Bombyx mori: one gene and its partners. The main gene of each other region encodes a partner of the protein of the gene in region 5 in a complex. Links are inferred from orthologs where the notes say so. Each region holds a gene or a part of one and is shown on either strand. Other genes may lie near its edges.

What was found.
Region 1: general transcription factor IIE subunit 2 (region 5) and general transcription factor IIH subunit 4 share a complex: the UniProt entries of both Homo sapiens proteins name them as parts of the TBP-based Pol II pre-initiation complex. The link is inferred for Bombyx mori from reciprocal best matches to the Homo sapiens genes GTF2E2 and GTF2H4.
Region 2: general transcription factor IIE subunit 2 (region 5) and transcription initiation factor IIA subunit 1 share a complex: the UniProt entries of both Homo sapiens proteins name them as parts of the TBP-based Pol II pre-initiation complex. The link is inferred for Bombyx mori from reciprocal best matches to the Homo sapiens genes GTF2E2 and GTF2A1.
Region 3: general transcription factor IIE subunit 2 (region 5) and DNA-directed RNA polymerase II subunit RPB2 share a complex: the UniProt entries of both Homo sapiens proteins name them as parts of the TBP-based Pol II pre-initiation complex. The link is inferred for Bombyx mori from reciprocal best matches to the Homo sapiens genes GTF2E2 and POLR2B.
Region 4: general transcription factor IIE subunit 2 (region 5) and general transcription factor IIF subunit 2 share a complex: the UniProt entries of both Homo sapiens proteins name them as parts of the TBP-based Pol II pre-initiation complex. The link is inferred for Bombyx mori from reciprocal best matches to the Homo sapiens genes GTF2E2 and GTF2F2.

What each region holds. Positions count from the first base shown.
Region 1 is NC_085125.1:212,812-216,327, forward strand, and holds part of general transcription factor IIH subunit 4, read right to left. Parts: intron 2,823-3,516; coding exon 2,750-2,822; intron 2,671-2,749; coding exon 2,563-2,670; intron 218-2,562; coding exon 134-217; intron 1-133. UniProt on the Homo sapiens protein: Component of the general transcription and DNA repair factor IIH (TFIIH) core complex, which is involved in general and transcription-coupled nucleotide excision repair (NER) of damaged DNA and, when complexed to CAK, in RNA transcription by RNA polymerase II.
Region 2 is NC_085117.1:13,411,124-13,414,870, reverse strand, and holds transcription initiation factor IIA subunit 1, read right to left. Parts: upstream 2,521-3,747; 5' UTR 1,999-2,520; coding exon 1,030-1,998; 3' UTR 517-1,029; downstream 1-516. UniProt on the Homo sapiens protein: TFIIA is a component of the transcription machinery of RNA polymerase II and plays an important role in transcriptional activation. TFIIA in a complex with TBP mediates transcriptional activity.
Region 3 is NC_085110.1:13,229,990-13,234,095, reverse strand, and holds the start of DNA-directed RNA polymerase II subunit RPB2, read right to left. Parts: upstream 2,814-4,106; 5' UTR 2,674-2,813; coding exon 1-2,673. UniProt on the Homo sapiens protein: Catalytic core component of RNA polymerase II (Pol II), a DNA-dependent RNA polymerase which synthesizes mRNA precursors and many functional non-coding RNAs using the four ribonucleoside triphosphates as substrates.
Region 4 is NC_085110.1:12,712,210-12,716,219, forward strand, and holds the start of general transcription factor IIF subunit 2, read right to left. Parts: upstream 2,807-4,010; 5' UTR 2,615-2,806; coding exon 2,338-2,614; intron 2,207-2,337; coding exon 1,995-2,206; intron 603-1,994; coding exon 477-602; intron 1-476. UniProt on the Homo sapiens protein: TFIIF is a general transcription initiation factor that binds to RNA polymerase II and helps to recruit it to the initiation complex in collaboration with TFIIB.
Region 5 is NC_085118.1:15,267,062-15,271,060, reverse strand, and holds the start of general transcription factor IIE subunit 2, read right to left. Parts: upstream 2,815-3,999; 5' UTR 2,671-2,814; coding exon 2,609-2,670; exon of another isoform or gene 2,605-2,608; intron 1,877-2,604; coding exon 1,772-1,876; intron 948-1,771; coding exon 785-947; intron 328-784; coding exon 218-327; intron 1-217. UniProt on the Homo sapiens protein: Recruits TFIIH to the initiation complex and stimulates the RNA polymerase II C-terminal domain kinase and DNA-dependent ATPase activities of TFIIH. Both TFIIH and TFIIE are required for promoter clearance by RNA polymerase.

The DNA of each region.
Region 1 (3,516 bases), on a different chromosome or scaffold from region 5:
GCGGCGGACCCTAGTCGCCACTCGGACGTCCGGTGTCCGCCCGCCCACGGTTGCCCACAGACAGACAGTTACAATGCCATATAGTGTGGCGCGGGGCAGCTCCGCGACGCCCGAGTGGCGCGCAGATACCGACCTTCCTCTGGTAGACGAGGCCGAACTCCCGCAGGTGCTGCAGGAACACCAGCATGTTGTTGCTCATGCCCTCCGTGCTGTAGTCCTGCGGACGAGACGCGCGGCACTCTTTTATTTTATTCTTATATTAAAATAAAACAGACCTCATCTATCTATTTTTGTATGATATTAAATGAGCGTTGAATTACAGAAAACCAATTTTTAATGAAATATTTTAATAAATATTAACTTGATCAATACATTTCTTTTATAAAATATGCTTGACCTCAAATGTCATCACGATTGAATTCATTCAAACAGATACTTTAAGTTAATAATTTTCCACATACCACATATACTCTGTGCTGTATCTGTGCTCTTTGTAAGGCTCAGATATCAATGACTTTTTAGCGGGAACGCGAGGAGTGAAGTTGTGTGATTTGTTTTATTTTGTCTATTTAGTGTTTCTTCGGGTTTAAATGTGTAATAATGGTGGTTTATTAACTGTTTAATATCTGTGAAAGTGCACAAATGTGGGAAAATGAAACAAAGCTGCTGGACGTAACTTCTCGGGTTCCTCCAAAAAGTCCACTGAAAAAATCTCAGTAAATGACCACCATTTTACTGCGATTATATTTCATCCCATATCATTTCATTTCATTAAATTTCATTTCATCCCAGTTGATTAATGTCTCAAATTAATCATATTCATTTCATTTCACTCCATATTATCATTTTTCATAAAATTAAGAATATAAAGTAAAATAAGACATGACTTAAAGGTCTCGGTTACTAGGTCATAAAATCTCTTAAAAAAAAAACAGATATCAATTTTATTACAGTCTTACTGATAATTTCAAAACACTTATATAATTTCAACTCTAAGCGTGAACACTTTTAGAACTTGTCCATCCCGCAGTATATTACACACATTACATATATTACATACAATCCGGACACATATTCAGAGATGTTGTATCGTATTGAACATTTTCAAATAATTATGAAGTGGATGGGAAAAGGCCTCGGGGGCGCTTCCCGATAAGTTGGTCCGACCAGATCCGCACCGCTCTTGATCCCACACTTCACAACGCCCTCCACACCGCCAGAGACAAAAATAGTTGGAGAAAGGTCATGCGTGCGAAGGTGATACAGAAGGGTGGTCGCGACCCTCAGCAGTGAGAGGAATACGACGCAAGAAGGAGGAGAATAAAAAAATAACTATATTGTATATTTTAAAAAGCAATTAGAATATATTTTTTAAATTGATGATATTTTTAAACAAAGTCCGATTTGTATAGGTACTCGCGAGTTGTGGGCGTAATGAAGTCTGCTCTGACGTACATTCCCGCGTGTTCTAGTGTCAGTGTAACAGTGCGGGCGGCGGCCCCGGCTACTGGACCATTGAGCACGTCGTTAACGACATTGAGGCAACAGACAGCGCGGGATAAGCCGCTCAAGTAGTTTGAATGATTGTGTTGTTCCGGCGGACAGCGCGCAGGCTCCGAGTGATAACGATACGGTACGGAACAGGTTTTTTTGAAGTGAAAACTTGGGAAGCAGAAATCGGCAAAGTGGTGGTACCTACCCGCGCGGACTCACAAGAGGTCCTACCACCAGTAATTACGCAAATTATAATTTAGCGGGTTTGATTTTTATTACACGATGTTAAGTCAATCGTGAACATTTGTTGAGTACGTATTTCATTAGAAAAATTTGTATCCGCCTGCGGGATTCGAACACCGGTGCATCGGTCAGCACGAATGCACCGGACGTCTCATCCTTTAGGCCACGACGATGAAATTAAAAAGCGACTTTTTTTGCTTACCTGGACTTGTAGCCTTGGGAGGCTCTTTCAGCTTCTCCTTGACGTGTAGGTGAGCTCACGGGGCTTAACCGGGGGTGTTGCTAACACTGACCCTAGCAAGAGCAGTGCTTCGCAGAATCTACTACCGGATCGGAAACGCGTCCCACTGAGAAGATCCGGCGAGTCCGGCTGTGTCTATGAGTTAATTCACTCGTTGAGCCCTTCGTCGCAAGCGACGGGTTCAACGAGGACGGTGACCGGTGCTTGAGGTACCTAAAAGCACCGTTAATGGATCGGGAGGATCCAAAATGACGTATTTAGGGCGACTTCGACTATTTACTATTCGGTCTACAGGATCGGGTATGTAGTTCCCAGCGGCCACGACAAGAGTTTTCATGTCGGGCCACCTTTAAAAAAGCGACAGTAAAAAGAGACTGACACATAAATTCTTAAGATTGAATAATATTCATAAGGTTTATATTATGGGTATAGTTCAGATTCATAAGATTTAACGCATTGAAACGGATGGCAACAATTACGTTGTTGTTCTTGTCTATGAGTTCTGGCGACCAGCGGGCGGTCGTGAGCTCGTTCGTCCATCTTAGCAATAAAAGTTTAACATTGGAAAAAATGATTATAGTCACCTTCCCCAGGGTGCTGAAGCTGAGCTGGTAGAGGAAGGCCAGGCACTCGGCGGCGCTGAGGCTGCGGCGCTCGGCCGTGTGCAGGTAGTGCTGCAGGAACAGCCACACCTGCGCACACACACGCGTCACACCCGCCGCCCCGCGAGGGCCGGGCTGGCCGGGCTCATCGCTCAGACACTGAACCGACCTGCTTGGGTGTACTCAGGAGCAGAAACTGGAAGCCGGCGCGAGTGATAACGGCGGACCCGTCTTCTGCGTCTCTGAAACATTACACGACCCGGGTGACGTCACACACTAGGGACGCGGACGGAGGAGGATGACATTTCCCACACTTATAGGCTGCGTTCCACTAAGCGTTCACAACGATCACGCTCACGACCGCAATTTTTTCCGTTCCACTTGCTTGTGAGCGTTACTGTCGTAAACTCAAGTGGAATGGATTTTAGAGTGTTTTGAGCGTGGAGTCCAGGTAAATAATACAAATGCCGAGTTAATAAAAAGATTTAAGAGGTTAGGTTATAATCTGTAAGCCTTGAAAATTAACCTTACTTATTATTGTTTAAATCGATTTATATTGAAAAAAATTATACATAATTTAATTTTTATTTAATATTAGTGGCGTATTTAATTAATTTACTTTCAAATGTAATTAAAATGTCTTTTGCGGCGGCACTAGGATATTTGGTAAGAGGTCGCAATAATGCTCCTGTGTGCTTAGTGCGAGTTTTTTAACGTTCTCGATAGCGTAAAAGTTAAGCCAATTCTGTATGCAGTTTGAACAGCGCCCCTAGCGGCAAACGTACGTAAACGATTCCATTCCTTACAAATATGAGCTAACTTTTACGCTATCGAGAACGTTAAAAAACTCGCACTAAGCACACTGATAGTATCTCTTTCCGCATGAAATAACGTAAGCTTAAAGGTCGCCATTTTTGATGCTTTGAGTTTTGAAAA
Region 2 (3,747 bases), on a different chromosome or scaffold from region 5:
TGATCATTGTGGACAAGTGCACTCTGTTTTGAAATTTACCATACTTTTTTAAAGCAGCCTAACTGATTTTTTTTACATTAGAAACATGATGACTCTCCTTCTGTAAAAATAGCTTTCATATGAGTTTGTGTGTAGTTATTTTTCCTTTTAAGTCTTAATATTAAGAGTGCAATTTAATTCGTTATTAAAATAAAACCCCCTAAACGTTATCTATAATATTATTATATTAGAAATAATTACATTTTAAAGTATCATGCCCTTGCAGTCCTTGCCCATTGTTGAGATGTAGAAATTTAAAAAAAAACCAAATTAATTGTTTGCTTCTAATAAGGACTATTTGTTTGATATTTAAATTATCTTTGATCTTACATACTCTGTAATAAATATTTTTTTCATTTTTAAAGAGGAAATTTAACTCATTTTTATTAAATTTAAAAGTTGTTTATTTATGCATTATATTTTTTGTTTAAACAAATGAAATTAAGGACATTTTCAATATTATAAAAAAAACATGGGTCATGTGTCACATTTATTGTAATTTTAATAGTGGCATTTAAATTAAAGAGCATCAACTTAAGAGATAACAAAATTATTCACAAACTTCTTTTGTATTGTACATTATTAATACCCAATAAGTCAAGATATGTATCTCGATATTAGAAGCACAAAGTCAAATAAATATCTTTCATTTAGATTTTTTTTTGTGTTTTTTTTTGTAATTATATTAGTAAGTAGTAGTCTCAGTAGTGTACAAAAAACACACTAATGGGAAGTGAGACTGAAGGAGCTTGGTAGAGTTTTTTACTATTGGTAATACTAGTGTCTTAGAAAACTTCAAATCTACCTACTAAAGATTGTTTTTTTTTTTTCATAATTTGTTTAACAATCTTATCGTAATCTTGTTACACAGATATCTGCCATACAGACATCAAATTACATGTCGAAATAACGAAATAATAATTATGAGACCTTAAGCCCTAATTCCGAGATATAACAAATAATTTTCTATAAAATACACACTGTCTATAATCACCATTCCGCATCACCATTAGCCTTTTGGAATACATAATCCTTTCCAGCTAGATTCATGATTCCATCTTTGAGATAGAACTTCCACCTATTGCGACTGCGTGTAATTTTATCATATTGGCAAACAACTACATTATCAGTATCAAACATGTCCCCTGGCTCCTCATCAGATACATCATCACCGGAATTTAGGGGTTCTTCTTCAGCACCACCACTTTCATTTTGTTCTTCTTCTTCTTCTTCTGCCCGCTCTTCGGGAGAATCGTCATCATCATCATCATCTGCTGCACCGTCTTCTGAACCATCACCTACGTTTGAGCCATCATCATCAGAAGAGTCCAAAGCACCATCTAAAGAGAAAGGAGCAGTTCCACTGCGGCCGCCTCCGCCGCTATCAAAATCACTTTTTTGTCCTGCTAAAGCCGAGTTGATATGTTGTTGCAGTAAAGTAGCAGCTAGAGGTTGTGGAAGGCTAATGGTAGCATTTATTATAGGACCTGTTAAGACCTGATGCAGTTTGTTGCCGTTCAGAGCTGATGCTGGAATTTGAATGGTAAATGAACGAGGCTGGGACCCTGGAACTCCAGGTTGAGCAGGTAATGTAAGCTGAACTGGCACTTTATTATTAGGGTCTAGAATATGATGAGTATGCGTTCCAGCTACACTAGATGCTGGTGCACTATGTTCTTGTTGCCCCGAAGTATGTCCCATGTCAGTTCTTTTATGCACTACATTACTACCATTTACTTTTTGGAAATTCTGTAACACTGGAGGAGGTGGCAGCATCGGCTCAGGTTGTAACGGGTCCGTGGCTCCACTGGCTTGAAGCTTTGTCTTCCATAGTTGTTTTAGTTCTTGTAACACTTGTTCGTCTACACCGTCATCTAAGAAAGAATTTCTCACTCCGGATATCACGTCGTCTACCACTATGTTGTAAAGTTTCAATACTGCGAGCTGACTCGTTGTCATTTTGCAATCGAGCTGTAGTTGAAAATTGTTTAACAGTGTAAAATGTTCACAGAACTAGATATTCTTGTTTCTAAATCTGTTTAGTTTAGTTTAGAGCCGATTATTTGTCTTCTGAGTTCACATCGCAACATTTCAATGTCAAATTTCTGGAATTCACACAGTTTGTTAATTCACTAATGTTGATGACCAATTTTATATATTTAAGATAATATGTGGCTAAAGTAGCTTATTTTAACTTTTATGACGTCCATTTACATAAAGAGAGACAAATTTATAAATTCACCATAAAAATTTTGACAATTGATCACTCAAACATAACCTACAAACCGAGGAAATATTTCGTAGCCTTTAAAGAAATAATTGTCTATGGTTCGTTGATTCCGACATTGAACGACGACAAAGATGGCGCATGCGTTATGAGTACGAGAAATAGCACCGCCCCGCACCGCGCCCCGGTTGATTACGTATTGGTGAGTTTGCGCCTTGGGTAGTTGCCTTTAAATTGATTTTACGGTTTGAAAGGAAAGAGCCACCACTTTAAAATTTCAAAACAAAATTGGCATATCTAAAATTTATTGTTATAACATTGAATGATGAAATTTAAAAATATAGAATTTTCACAAAAAACGGTATTCATTCAAAAAAATTCGTTACAAGCCAATTTTAATGAAATTCATTTCTACTTAAACCATTGTTAAATAATATTGACTAAATAATATTTATATTTTATTTATATTAAACTATTGCACTGTTGAGTACAAGCAACGCAACACTCAATTTTATCTTGTACTATGAAAACTTAAAGACTTCATTCTTAATAAAACCGCATAATAGGACGTTTATGAAACAAGAGTAACTATAAACTTAATTGTTATTTTAGATAGATTTTTCAGTTTTTCAGTGGTTGTAAAAAATGTTGATTAAAATTGGTGGCATAGACAATAATTGAATTTTAGTATTTTTGTGGCGGGAAATCCAAATGTTGGAAAGAACTTTTCGTCTTTGTCGAAGCTTTTCATTTTTTTTGTAACGAATGACGTTGAAGTTTTTATATTTAAAATAGGGGCTTAAACTTATATAGTTGAAAAGGTAGTGTATAATAATATGCTTTCGTTATTAATTTGACATCAATCATCATCAATTCATTTGACTCAATACATTTCTTTCTGTGACAGATTTTTAAAGCACGACAATTGGTAAGAAGGTATTCTAATGGAACATTCTTATATATTCTGACTTCAATATAATATTAAAAATTTATAAATATCAAAATATGAGGGTTACAGTACTCATTTACCTCAATTTTCTTTTAGTAAATATTGTAACGAACAAAATCGATACCAATGCCGAATGAAACACGGTTTTTTCAGTTTATCAAATCAAACTTCTCTTGATAACACAATACAGCACATTTACCGTAAATTAATTAAAGGTAAATTAAAAGCACAGCTAGTTATTTCGGGGAAATAACGTCATCTGTCAGTGATTGGTGTGTATCTGTATAGTCCGCGGTCGACGCGGTCTAGTGGGGACCGTGTTGGTTTGTTCGTCGGCTAGCTATTTGCAGCAGATCGATACGTTCCAGAATATCATTACTCGCTCACCTGAAGTCTAAATTAACGTAGGATCAAACTAAAATTTGTTTACTATTCACTATGTGTTCGCTATTAATGTAGAATTTTGGTTTTATGGCAGTTCAAAAACCATCTCTTGTCGAAATTTGCAACATTTCGAAAGTTTCTGTTTTTA
Region 3 (4,106 bases), on a different chromosome or scaffold from region 5:
ATCTCGCTTTGTAAATCGTTTTGTTGTACCTTCCAACTCATCATCATTTTCTGGCAAAGTTATAGTTTTTCCTATGACAACATCATCACCTGATACTCTAATACCAGGAGCAATAATACCATCATCATCTAATTTGTCATACAGAGCATTCCTCATACCCTGACATGTCTGTCTGGTTGGTTTTTCAAACTGTTCTTCTTGTTCTCCATTTCTTTTAGATTCAGAATCTTTGTATGAACGGTAAAATACGGATCTAAAGAATCCTCTCTCTACAGCAGATGCATTCAAAATAACACTATCTTCTTGGTTATATCCGGTATAACAAAGAATAGCAACAATGGAGTTAATTCCTGCTGGCAATTCTCTAAATCGTAAGTATTCCATAGATCTTGTCGTAACCAGGGGTTTGTGAGGATAATACAAAACATGAGCCAGTGTATCCATTCTAACATGGAAATTTGTGATATAAACTCCCATAGCTTGTTTACCCATAGCACTTTGATAAGTATTTCTGGGACTTTGATTATGATCTGGGAATGGAATAATAGACGCACAGACACCCAGAATCATTGCAGGATGAATCTCACAATGTGTATAAGTAGTACAATATGCATATTCTTTAACTTGATTCAAGTCATCTAAACTCATGGCAATCATCACAGTTTCTTCTTCCAAAGTATCAATATATTCAACTACTCCACTAGCCACCAAATTTTGCCAACCATAGTTATTGTAGTCCTTTTCTTTTAAATCATCTATGTGCTTCTTTTTCAACAATAAGACACCATTATTGACAATAAGTAATGGCCTACAAATTCTACCTGCATCTGTATAGATTCTGATTTCTCTGTCTCTTATATCTCTAATCATACTGACTTCAGAGACAATGATGTCCATATGACGTCTTAGTTTACGTAGTGTAGCCATCAACTGTTCAGGGTCCCTGTGTATTCCTACCCAACAACCATTCACAAATATCTTTGTGGCATCAGCTATAGCTGATGGTGCAATTTCTTCCAAGTTTTCCATTGACCATTCTTCCAAGAACTCCAAAATTGGTGAAGGTTGACTTCCTACTGAGATATAAGCCATTAATGCTAAATTCTTCACTAAGCCAACAGCAGCTCCCTCTGGAGTTTCAGCAGGACAAATCATACCCCATAAAGTATTGTGCAATTGACGTGGTTTAGCAAGTTTACCATCACGTCCAATTGGAGAATTGACACGTCTTAAATGGGATAAAGTAGATGCAAAAGTTAATCTGTTCAACACTTGAGATACTCCAGCTCGGGCCTGATGAGCTTTCTTTTGGTCACCCCAATTACCAGTTGCCAAAGAATAACGAAGACCATCAGTGATGATTTTTGTTTTGATAGCAAGTTCCAAGTTGAAATCTTTTCCTCTATCAATAAATTTTTGAGCATACATTCGGACTTCTTTTAGTAAATTTTTGAATAAGCCTCTAAATAGAAAAGCCAAAAGTGGTCCTGCTAAATCTAATCTTTTGTTGCCATAATGATCTCTATCATCCAGTTCTCTTCGACCCAAAGCAGCTAATAATAATCTGTGTACCATGTAGCCTAGAAAATAAGCTTTTTTTGTTTCACAAAAATCTGATACTCCAACATGTGGCAACATTTCCTTTTGTAAGATTTCTCTAGCATATTTAATACGTCTTTCTTTGGTGACACCTGGGCGTGCTCCTCGGCTTCCAATAAAATTGAGTGCTACATTTTGTTCTTGAATGACAAAAGCCTCATCAAGAGATGGCTTAACCATTTCCATCATTTCTGGATCATCAAAATCATATATAATGTGTTCCAATATATCTCTATCAGCAACAAAACCTAAAGCTCTGAATACAATCATTATAGGTATGTCTTGTTTGATATATGGGACAATTGCCATAATTCTTTGACCAATAGCAGATTTCTTTATATTTTGTCCTCCTCGAGCCATCATATTAACCCATAATGTAGATGTCGGTCTAGAACTATGTTCCAGACATGATCTTATTTCTGTTTTGTAAGCATATTTGCCATCCTTCATGCTGAATACATAGACAGTATTGGTAGCCATTTTTTCCTGTGCAATTAGTACTTTTTCTGATCCATTAATAATGAAGTAACCACCAGGATCTAAGGGGCATTCATTCAATTCTGACAAGTCACGGTCAGTCAAACTGTTTAGTAAGCAATATGTAGATCTAAGCATAATAGGAATCTTGCCAATAAATGTTTTCTGATGTTGCGTTTCAATAGGATCCTCATGTTCTTTCTCTATTGTTTTTGTAATATCAACATATAAAGGTGCCGAATATGTTAAATTACGAAGACGTGCTTCATTGGGCATCATGGGAGATGGAGCTCCATCTTTCTCCCAATGAGTAGGTTTAGATAAATAAATTTGGTCAAATTTAAGACGATATTTTGGTGGTGTTTCCATCTCACCAGAGAAATGTTGTGCTTCTGCTTGTAATTCTATGGGTGGAGAATCTTCAACTATACGTTGTACCGACATTTGAATAAATTCATCGAAGCTATCTAATTGCTGTCTCACTAGACCTTTTTCATCGAAATAAGCGTTGATGACAATCCAACAAGCTTCTTGCCAAAGCTCAGGTGTTATTTCCACATCTTCCTCTTCGTATTGATCATCTTCTGTATCATACATCTTCGCTAAAGCGAGTGTTGTATTTAAAAAATATACTGTAGGCTATTAATGGCCTTTCTGTATTTTCAATTGGAAAATATTAAAGCAAATGCGTCGTCGTCGCCTTTCCTAGGCTCTATTATCTATGGTAGCAAATATCATAGATTAAACACATGCAAATATTATGTGCTTAATGGCTCAGTGAATTTAGCCCCCTTTTTTATTTTGGATTTTTTTATATTTGTTGGCGTGAGGTGATGGTTTGCTTATTAGATATAAAATAATTAATAATTGAGAATTCAATTGTTTTTATGATCGAACAATCACCAATAGTCGTCAAACAAACGATAATTGATCAAAATTAATTAATCTGAGTGATAAAAATAAAGATATCTAGTAAAAGGAGCCAACTTAATGTGATCATTTGTTTAATTAATTATAAATAAATAAAAGACGAACAAAGATTTTTTACATATGAACATTAACGAACAAACAACGGACAAATAATTAAAAATAAAAAAATTTGAAAATCAAAAAAAGAGGGGCCAAATTCAGTGTGCCGTAGGTATAGATCATACACTTAATATTTAAGTTAGTAGGTTATGGCTCTGTAAATTTGGCCCCCTTTTTTTATTTTCGGATTTTTTTTATTTTTAATTATTTGTTCGTCGTTTGTTCGTTAATGCTCGAATGTAAAAATTGTTTGTTCGTCTTTTGTTTATTTATAATTAATTAAATAAATGATCACCGTTAAGTGGGCCCCTCTTACTAGATATCTTTATTTTTATCGATTAATTCATTTTAATTCATTTTGATCAATTATCGTTTGTTCGATGACTATTGGTGATTGTTCGATCATAAAAATAATTAAATTCCCAATTATTAATTATTTTATATTAATGTAATACCGAAATACTTCACGAGATGGCGTTACAAAAAATCCCTTCCCAAAACTATAAAACCGTTGTGATTGTCTACTGAATAGATAATATAATAAATAATATTTATTCGTAGGTGATTGTTTAAGATGTTATGAATATTTCAGTTTTGATTTCATCAAAATAACTTGAACTTTACTACTAAATTCCGAAAAAAATTTTAATTAAGGCTGAGTTAAATTTAGCTTTTTATTTAAGCCTCTTACTGTAGTTTTTGAATTACATTTATGCAGATTGACGTTTCAAAGCTTTCAGATTTCAATTTTAAAATCTGAAATAATTAAGAACAGCGTCATCCACCGTTCACATTTGAAACAGAATTTAATTCGGTTTAAATTTGTAAAAGTTGATGTTGATTATTATTACACTAATTAATTGAGCGTTTCATTAGCTTTTAAGCTGAGTGACTATATACTAGTAATATATTTTTATTCTATTGTCTATTTTTGTTAAGTAATAAATGAGCAAAAAATAATACTTAACTAAAAGATATGAAATCCGAACAAAAACAGTTTC
Region 4 (4,010 bases), on a different chromosome or scaffold from region 5:
TTCACTAGGACCTCTTGGGAGTCCACACGGGTAGGTACCACCACCCCGCCTATTTCCGCCGTGAAGCAGTAATGCGTTTCGGTTCGAAGGGTGGGGTAGGCGTTGTAACTATACTGAGACCTTAGAACTTATATCTCGAGGTGGGTGGCGCATTTACGTTGTAGATGTCTATGGGCTCCAGTAACCACTTAACATCAGGTGGGCTGTGAGCTCGTCCATTCATCAAAGCAATAAAAAAAAATGCAATTAGATGTGTTTTTTTTTATGAACATCTAATTTTAAATTCAAAGTCACTACTATTCTCAGTTTCAAAGTATGAACAGTATTATCAAAATTAGAATATAATATATACAGTGAAACAGTTTCTTTTGGCCTTTATTTTTTTTATTAAGACAATGATTAAATTTTTTGCTTAATAATGTGTTAATAATTTTATGTTTAGACAAATATAAAATCATCAGAATAGTATTTATTACCTTTTGAAGATCCTTAATATTGTAATACTGATGTTTCTCAAATGCTGCAAACAGCATATTGAGCACTGCTTCTTTATCATCACGAGCCTTTTTCCCTTCAGCCTTCTTCCTTTCTTGGTAGTCAATCTAAATATTTTACGAAATTTTAATATACAAAATTAAAAAAAGCATGATTAACATAATGAAATGAAATAAACTTAATAGAATACAAAAAGTAAAACAACTTAAGAAATTTTAAAACCTGTTGTTATTCATTGTGTCACTTGTGAAAAGTTTTCTGGTTGGTTTAAGAGCTCATAGAAAGTAAAAATATACAGAGCCATTTGTTTTTATTTACTGATGTTTATAATTTAATTTACTATATAGATGAGTGAAGAACCCCGTGGTCCACCCAGTGTAAAGTGGTTACCTCACTAGTCATCATAACATGAATAGCACCAAAAACCTTGAGAAGTCGAAATCTCAATTCTATTGTATGAGGTTTTCCTTCAAACCAATGTGCTTAGTGTGAACTTTTTAACTTCTCGATCAGAGTTGGAACAGCACCCCAAGAAGCAAACGCAGGGGCGCTATTCCAACTTCATACAAATTTGAGTTATTTTTTAAATATAAATAAATATAAATATAAATATTTACTAACAATCACGCCACGTTAACTGGTCCCGTGCTAAGTTCGTAAAGAACTTGTGTTACAAGTACCAGATAACGGAAATAAATATAATATTTTATTATACACATACATATATTTAATGTACACCCATAACCCTGGAAAGACATTTACATTTATCATACAAATATCTTACCTTGGCGGGATTCGAACCCGCGACCTCCTTGTGTAGTGACCATGTCACTTACCACTACACCAGACGGCCGTTTGATCAAGAAGTTAAAAACTCACACTAAGCACACAATGATTTGCTGTAAACATAAGCAGGAGCAATATCTACACACACCCTACTATCTGTACCAATACCACACATATATGAATGCCCACCCATCTTCAGATAAAAGGTGGAAGTACCTATTGTATTTTATACCAGCTCAAGATGCAAATTTTACAGTCTTGGCCATCCCAAGCTACTAAACATTCCCTATTTACCGTTCCACCATTCCAATTATATCAATCACTACTTATGTCCCATTAATTCCTAACCTATGGAGGACTGTTATCAGATAAGTAGCTATCAATAACTACACAATTTATAATTTTTTATATTGATCAATCATGTTTTTATTTTCGAGTTTGTCTAAATGATAACTTTGCTATACAATGGGAGCAGACATTGCTGCAACCTGTATTTTAATACTTCTAGTAGAATTTATATGAAGCATTTCATTCAACAACATATCCAAAGAGTATTGAACTGCATCTGGAGATCTCAGAGCTCTACACATGCTCTATTTAAAACTTTTTAATCATCTCTAGTTTGACTTCCAATGCAGTCAGGGGCATGTTTTAATGATCAGTTGCTGAAAAATACAGTAAATCAATCCTTTAGATTTCAACAGTAAACATACATTATGTGGATGGTCAGATACTGGTTTGAAGTTCTGAACAATCCTGTCAAGCTGTTGCACTTGTCGCTGAGGCATGGATGCTTTCTTTATTGATTCAGATTTAAGCTTATAGTATGTCACATCATCATTTGGTCTGCATTCCAATTTCTGTACAATCCTACCCTCCATGTAAAGGTTTTCTGTCTCTGGTACTACAGAGTCCGTATTTGTCGCTAAAATGGTTATATTATGAATAAACACGATTAATATAATATCGAACTTTAGACATGAAATTAATTTTATCATTGAGTTCACCAGGACATGTTAGGAGGCGTTAAATATAGATAATTATGAGACTACTTACGGGCAATATGCGAAAATACACCTAGAGATTGAGTATTAACGTTTGAAACATCAAGCTTATGTTCTTTTGGTATGCTTTGTTCACCAGGGTCCTTTAAACATAGCACTGCTTCTGACAAGGATAACTGCACTTTAGCTCTCGTTCCTGGTACTCTGGAGATCTTTAGTTTTCCTACCTCAATGTTTCCAGGAGCTTTTTCCCATTTGTTTGCTATATATTTAGGTACTTTTACCAACCATACTCCTCTACCAGTATTTGATAAGTCCAATTCGGTCATTGTTGTGGAATATAAAATCTATTAGCAGTCGATAGCGGACACTATTTTAACGGCCTTTAAAAGTACTAAAGTCGTAAAGATTTCCTTTAACTATAACTAAATCTTAGAAAATTTACTTGCACTTCCACAAAAGACCTACATAAGTGACAGCTCTCGAAAATATTAAGTGTATAATCTATGGTGACAGCTTAACCACAGATTAATATAATAAATACCGTAAAATGGGGCGATTAGGGATTGAGAGGCGAATCGGGAAAAAACCGGGAAAATCTTGCGACGCACAATATTAGTTTTATATTCGTTGCAAAATCTTCCATTTTTTGTAGTTTAATAGTAGAATGTTGAAAGTTCACAAAAAAACTCTGAATATGCATGATAATAGCTGCTAACTTATAAAAAATCGCGTTTCAAATTAACTTCCTGTGTTGGAAATTATTTTAGTGCTAGAAACTTTGCTCTCTTTTATTTATTTGATAATAATAGAAGACGACTGTGATTTATAAACGTTATTTAGTGTTTGAACCATCATATATATTAAAGGTAAGTCTCAGTTGTTATTGGTTTTAATGTATTTGATAAAATAAAAATACATGTAAAAATCTGTTGTTTTGGGGGATATTAGGGACGTCTTAGGTACAAATAACAACGAAAAAGGGGTCAATTGGGATGAGAATACGTGAAATGGAAACCACCTAAGTATAAATAGGTACAGGTTTGTAGGGTTGTCTATGTAGTTATAACAATATTTTTTAAATTTGTTGGTAAAAATCTGGTTTATTCATGATGTCTTTGTCTAGAACTTTTATTTAAAATTATCAATGTGTTATTTTATTGTTTGGTAAATATATTATCAGTTACGTATTGTTTTCTATTTTTAGATATGCCTCGCGTTTACGTATCAAAGAGTGCAAAGCCTTATAAGAGATATGATCCCTTAATATTAAAAACAGCAATAGAAGCCTATGAAATTGGGAATAAGTCTTTACTTGAAATAGCCAAGCAATTTAATATAAGTAAGTCGATTTTGCACAGACATGTAACAAGAACAATGAAATCTCGAGGTGGACAAAAATGTCTAAGTAATACATTATAAAATATTTAATATTTGTTCAGAGTGGGGGTATTCATCTGATTAATCCATGGAATAACCGACATAACTAATCTCTTAACCCAGATAAAAATATCAGCCCCTAAGTACTTACCAAGACCGAAGAAATATAAACCGTTTATAAGAAAGCTCACTCGTTCGAATTTAGGTGCTTACTCTCCCATATACAGAATCCTTTGGGACTACAATAATGTCCACGGTAGCGTGGTCTCCGTCAATGTTCATTCGGAGTTGTCCGATTGCGCTGAACTAATTTTAAGTGATAAAATAGATGTTTTTTTTAATTGT
Region 5 (3,999 bases):
GGGCAGACGGGCATACGGCCCACCTGATGGTGAGTAGTTACCGTCGCCCATGGACTTCAGCAATGCCAGGGGCAGAGCCAAACCGCTGCCTACAATAAATGAAATGCAAATTGAACAAGTACTTTTTATTTATATGATTTTTGTCAGGTGATGATCTTTAAATCGTTTTCTAGTTACTACATTTGAATTATGTAAATAATGAAAATATTATACGTACCTCAGTAAAGATTTTTTATCTTTTATTTTATAAACCGGTTTGAAGTTAAACTTTCCATCCGGAGAGCATTCGATTTTAGGATTGCTCTGTAGGGCTTCTGTTTGTAGCCACTTGAAAATGTTTACAGCAGGTTATAAAAGAGAAATCAATTAAAATAGAATATTATTTATAAAAAGCATTTTAATCAATTTGGGTGTTGTGGTACTTGTGTGCTGGGGTATAATAATACTGTAATTAATGCCATCATTTTCCTAAAGTAATTACTCATGATTATTTTTATACATTATGTAGATACAGTTAGTGTTAATAGGGTGTCTTGTGAGCATGCAGGGGTAGATATAACCACACTGCCTATTTCTTTACTGAAGCATAAGCAATATAAAAGTGAGATTTAGAACTCATGTCTATATACTCCAGTAACTGCTTAACACCAGGTGGTTCGTGAGCACATTAGACTTAGTAATAAAATAAAAATTGCATTTATCATCAGCTATAAGAAAATGTGTGTGTTGTTGTAATTATTATTGAGGTAATTTATTTATTATTTCAATACTTATTAAAAGATACCTGTTTTATTTTATTTCCGACATCCAATTGATTTGTCTCATCTAAAATCTCATCTAAAGACAGTGGATGGTCATCTCCATCTTGATGCCTTGCTCTCATATGCCGTACAATACGCGCTAGCACACCAAAGCGATAGGACGAGCTGCCAGTCATAGTCTTGTAACTGAAAAGGATGATGATCAATCACAGATTTAACCAATAATTATAATATAACAAAAAATAATATTATTAGTGTTTGCTTATTGATCTAAATTCGACCATAATCATTGACACCTCAAGGTTTAGATTCAATTTAGTATTAAATTTTCCCTTTTGTTTCGTTACTTAGTGATATAAAAAAAAATCTAGAACTGTTTTCTGATAACACAAAAGCTCTTTAATAGCTACTAAATTAAATAAAAGGGAGAGTTGTCAAACAGAGAAAGAACTGGTATCTATATGCTCTATCTCAATATTTTATCCATTGTAGCACTAAATATGATCAATTCTTTTTTATATATTTTATAAGATTTTAGCAAATACACTAAATGATAAATTATTTTTTTAACAATAAAAAGCTCGCTACATATAGCCTGTATCAAGGCTATCATAATATAAATTTTCGAATTCCAAATAAATCCTGTGTTTTTTATTTTTCATAATTTTTTTTCCAAAGGCTTTTTCTAATTTTTTTTATTCAAAAGTTGATATTGCTATAAAAAGTTTATTAGTATTATTTAATAGAATTGGCGATTAAAATTACCTATAAAGCATAATAAATTATGGGAAGCAATGGTACTGATGTCATGAATAGATATTGCTGATATAGTAATTTGACCTAGTCAAAAGATAAAACTAAATGTGATTTCTAGTTTATTAATGAAAATAGCATTAGTAAATGATGCACATATTTGTTTATGCGGAACACAGTAACTATGTAAATTCAATAGTTATTTTGATAACAGAATATTTTAAATTATTAATTATGTTGCCCTAGCCTTTACTTACTTACTAGCATCAAGCTTTGGTCCGGAGCTGACTGAGCTGGATGATTTCGATTTCTTTTTGCTGTCATCTTTGAATTCAGAGTCATCCCTTTTCTTTTTTTCAATGCTGAAGAGAAAAGAATAATACTTTATTAATTTTGTTTCGTTCTAATTTGACAGTAACCTTTCGATGGGTTGAACTATAGCTCATGTAAAGTGTACTTTTATCAAGTGTGACTATGCTGGTATTCAAATACCATAGACCTGTATAATTTTTTCCACGGCAAAACATTTCTAACACGTTTTCATAAATGGATTATAAGATGAAGTAGCATTTTAGATAAAAATCATGTTTCAAAACAATTGGTGACATTCACATTATATCTAGGGGCTCAGGTAATCACTTAACATAATGTGGGCTGTCAGCTTGATCAGATTCTTTGAAAAAATTCATTACTTTAAATTAAATGAAACATTTTCCATTGTATTCTAATTTACCTAGGGCATGCCAGTCAATATAATCTTTAAAAAAATAGGGCCTGTGCCTTGATCATATTTATCTAGAATATTGGCTGCTATTAAATTAGGAAAGATATTATATCTTATTAACATTTAAATCTTCTACTTTTCTCTGCACAAGTGATTTGTTCACATTTCTACTCATTTAGTATTTCGAAACACATATTTCCATTCATAACTTTATATAATGACTCAGTAATGAATATTGCCACAAGGAAGTGAATTGATAGTAATTGTATGGGCTACGTGAGTGACAGAGAAAGTGTGCGATGGATGCCAGTATGTCTCCAATCATTGTTGTGGACTAGCGAATAGTTTAGTTAAAAATAATGTAACAGACCTCGGGGTCGCAAGTGCCTTCTTTTTAAACGCTTCCCGTTCCCGTAAGAGCGCCGGGTCCATATTTTCGTCTTTTAAACACAATCACTAAAAGTACGTATCAATTGTATTAGTATTTTGTTTAATTGCTGTTGTAATGTAGTCTATTTTCCACTTCCAAATCCTGTTTCTTTAAAATCCGGTTTGAGCAATTTGACATGTGACATATGACCATCTTTGACAAATGACGTGAGGGAGTTCATATAGAGTCCCTTCTTTATTTCGCCTGGTTGTGTTTTATGTAATTAACACCACAGTTGGAACAATATAAATTTTATTGTTGTAGCGGCATAAAGTAATTACATTAAATTGGTTATTATCACATTATAAATTATTTTTGTTTTTCATATTTTGGCGGTAAAAAGGTATTGTCACAGACTATATTCTTTTTCCCACATCTCGTGCGTTCCGGCTTACGCATAATAAAACGCCACACCACCCCCCTACGGAGAAGGAGAATCCGCAGAAAAAGAGAAAAAAATATCATAGGTCGAAAGGTTTGGAGAAGTGGACTCTGCGACCTGATCGGGTGGTATATTGAGGTGTATGCGTAGGAGTAGCAGTTAGAGGTGCCGAAGGCACGAGTGGACATGAAGGGACATTAGTAGCATCCGGTTGCGCTGGTTGAGGCACAGAAACCCGCGGTGCTGGTGCTGGAACGAGATCTACTAAAGAATGCTCGACGAAAGCTGGCTTAATTCTGTCGACACTGACCGTCACCTGTTTCCCTTTTACATCAATCGACCACGTTTTTCCGTCCTCGGCTCTAGATATAACTCTATGAGGACCAGAGTAAGGTGGTTGCATTGAACGTCTAACCGAATCCTCCCTGAGCATTACATGAGAGGCGGTGGAAAGATTTTTAAATATGAAAGGTGATGGTTTAGTGTGTGAGGAACATGGAGTGGGACGCAATTTAGACATACGCTGTCTTAACTTTACGACAAAATCCGTCGGGTCCTCGAAGCCAGAAGGACCGGGAGGTACTAACAGTTCCCCTGGAAGCGTTAATGTTTCTCCGTAAAGCAATTCCGCTACTGTTGCTTGTAGATCTTCTTTAAAAGCCGAACGCATTCCTAATAAGACCAAAGGTAATGCATTCAACCACGAATCATCATAACACATCAGAGAGGCCTTTAATTGTCTATGCATGCGCTCCACGAGCCCATTGGCACAAGGGTGGTAACTAGTAGTGCGTATACGTTTAGTACCACATAAATTAGTAAGGCGTCTGAAAAGGTCCGACTCGAACTGTCGTCCCTGGTCGGTAGTGATGACAGCAGGTACTCCGAATCGAGCAATCCAACCGGCTACAAAGGTGCTCGCCACTTCTTCTGCTGTTATTCCGTGCAT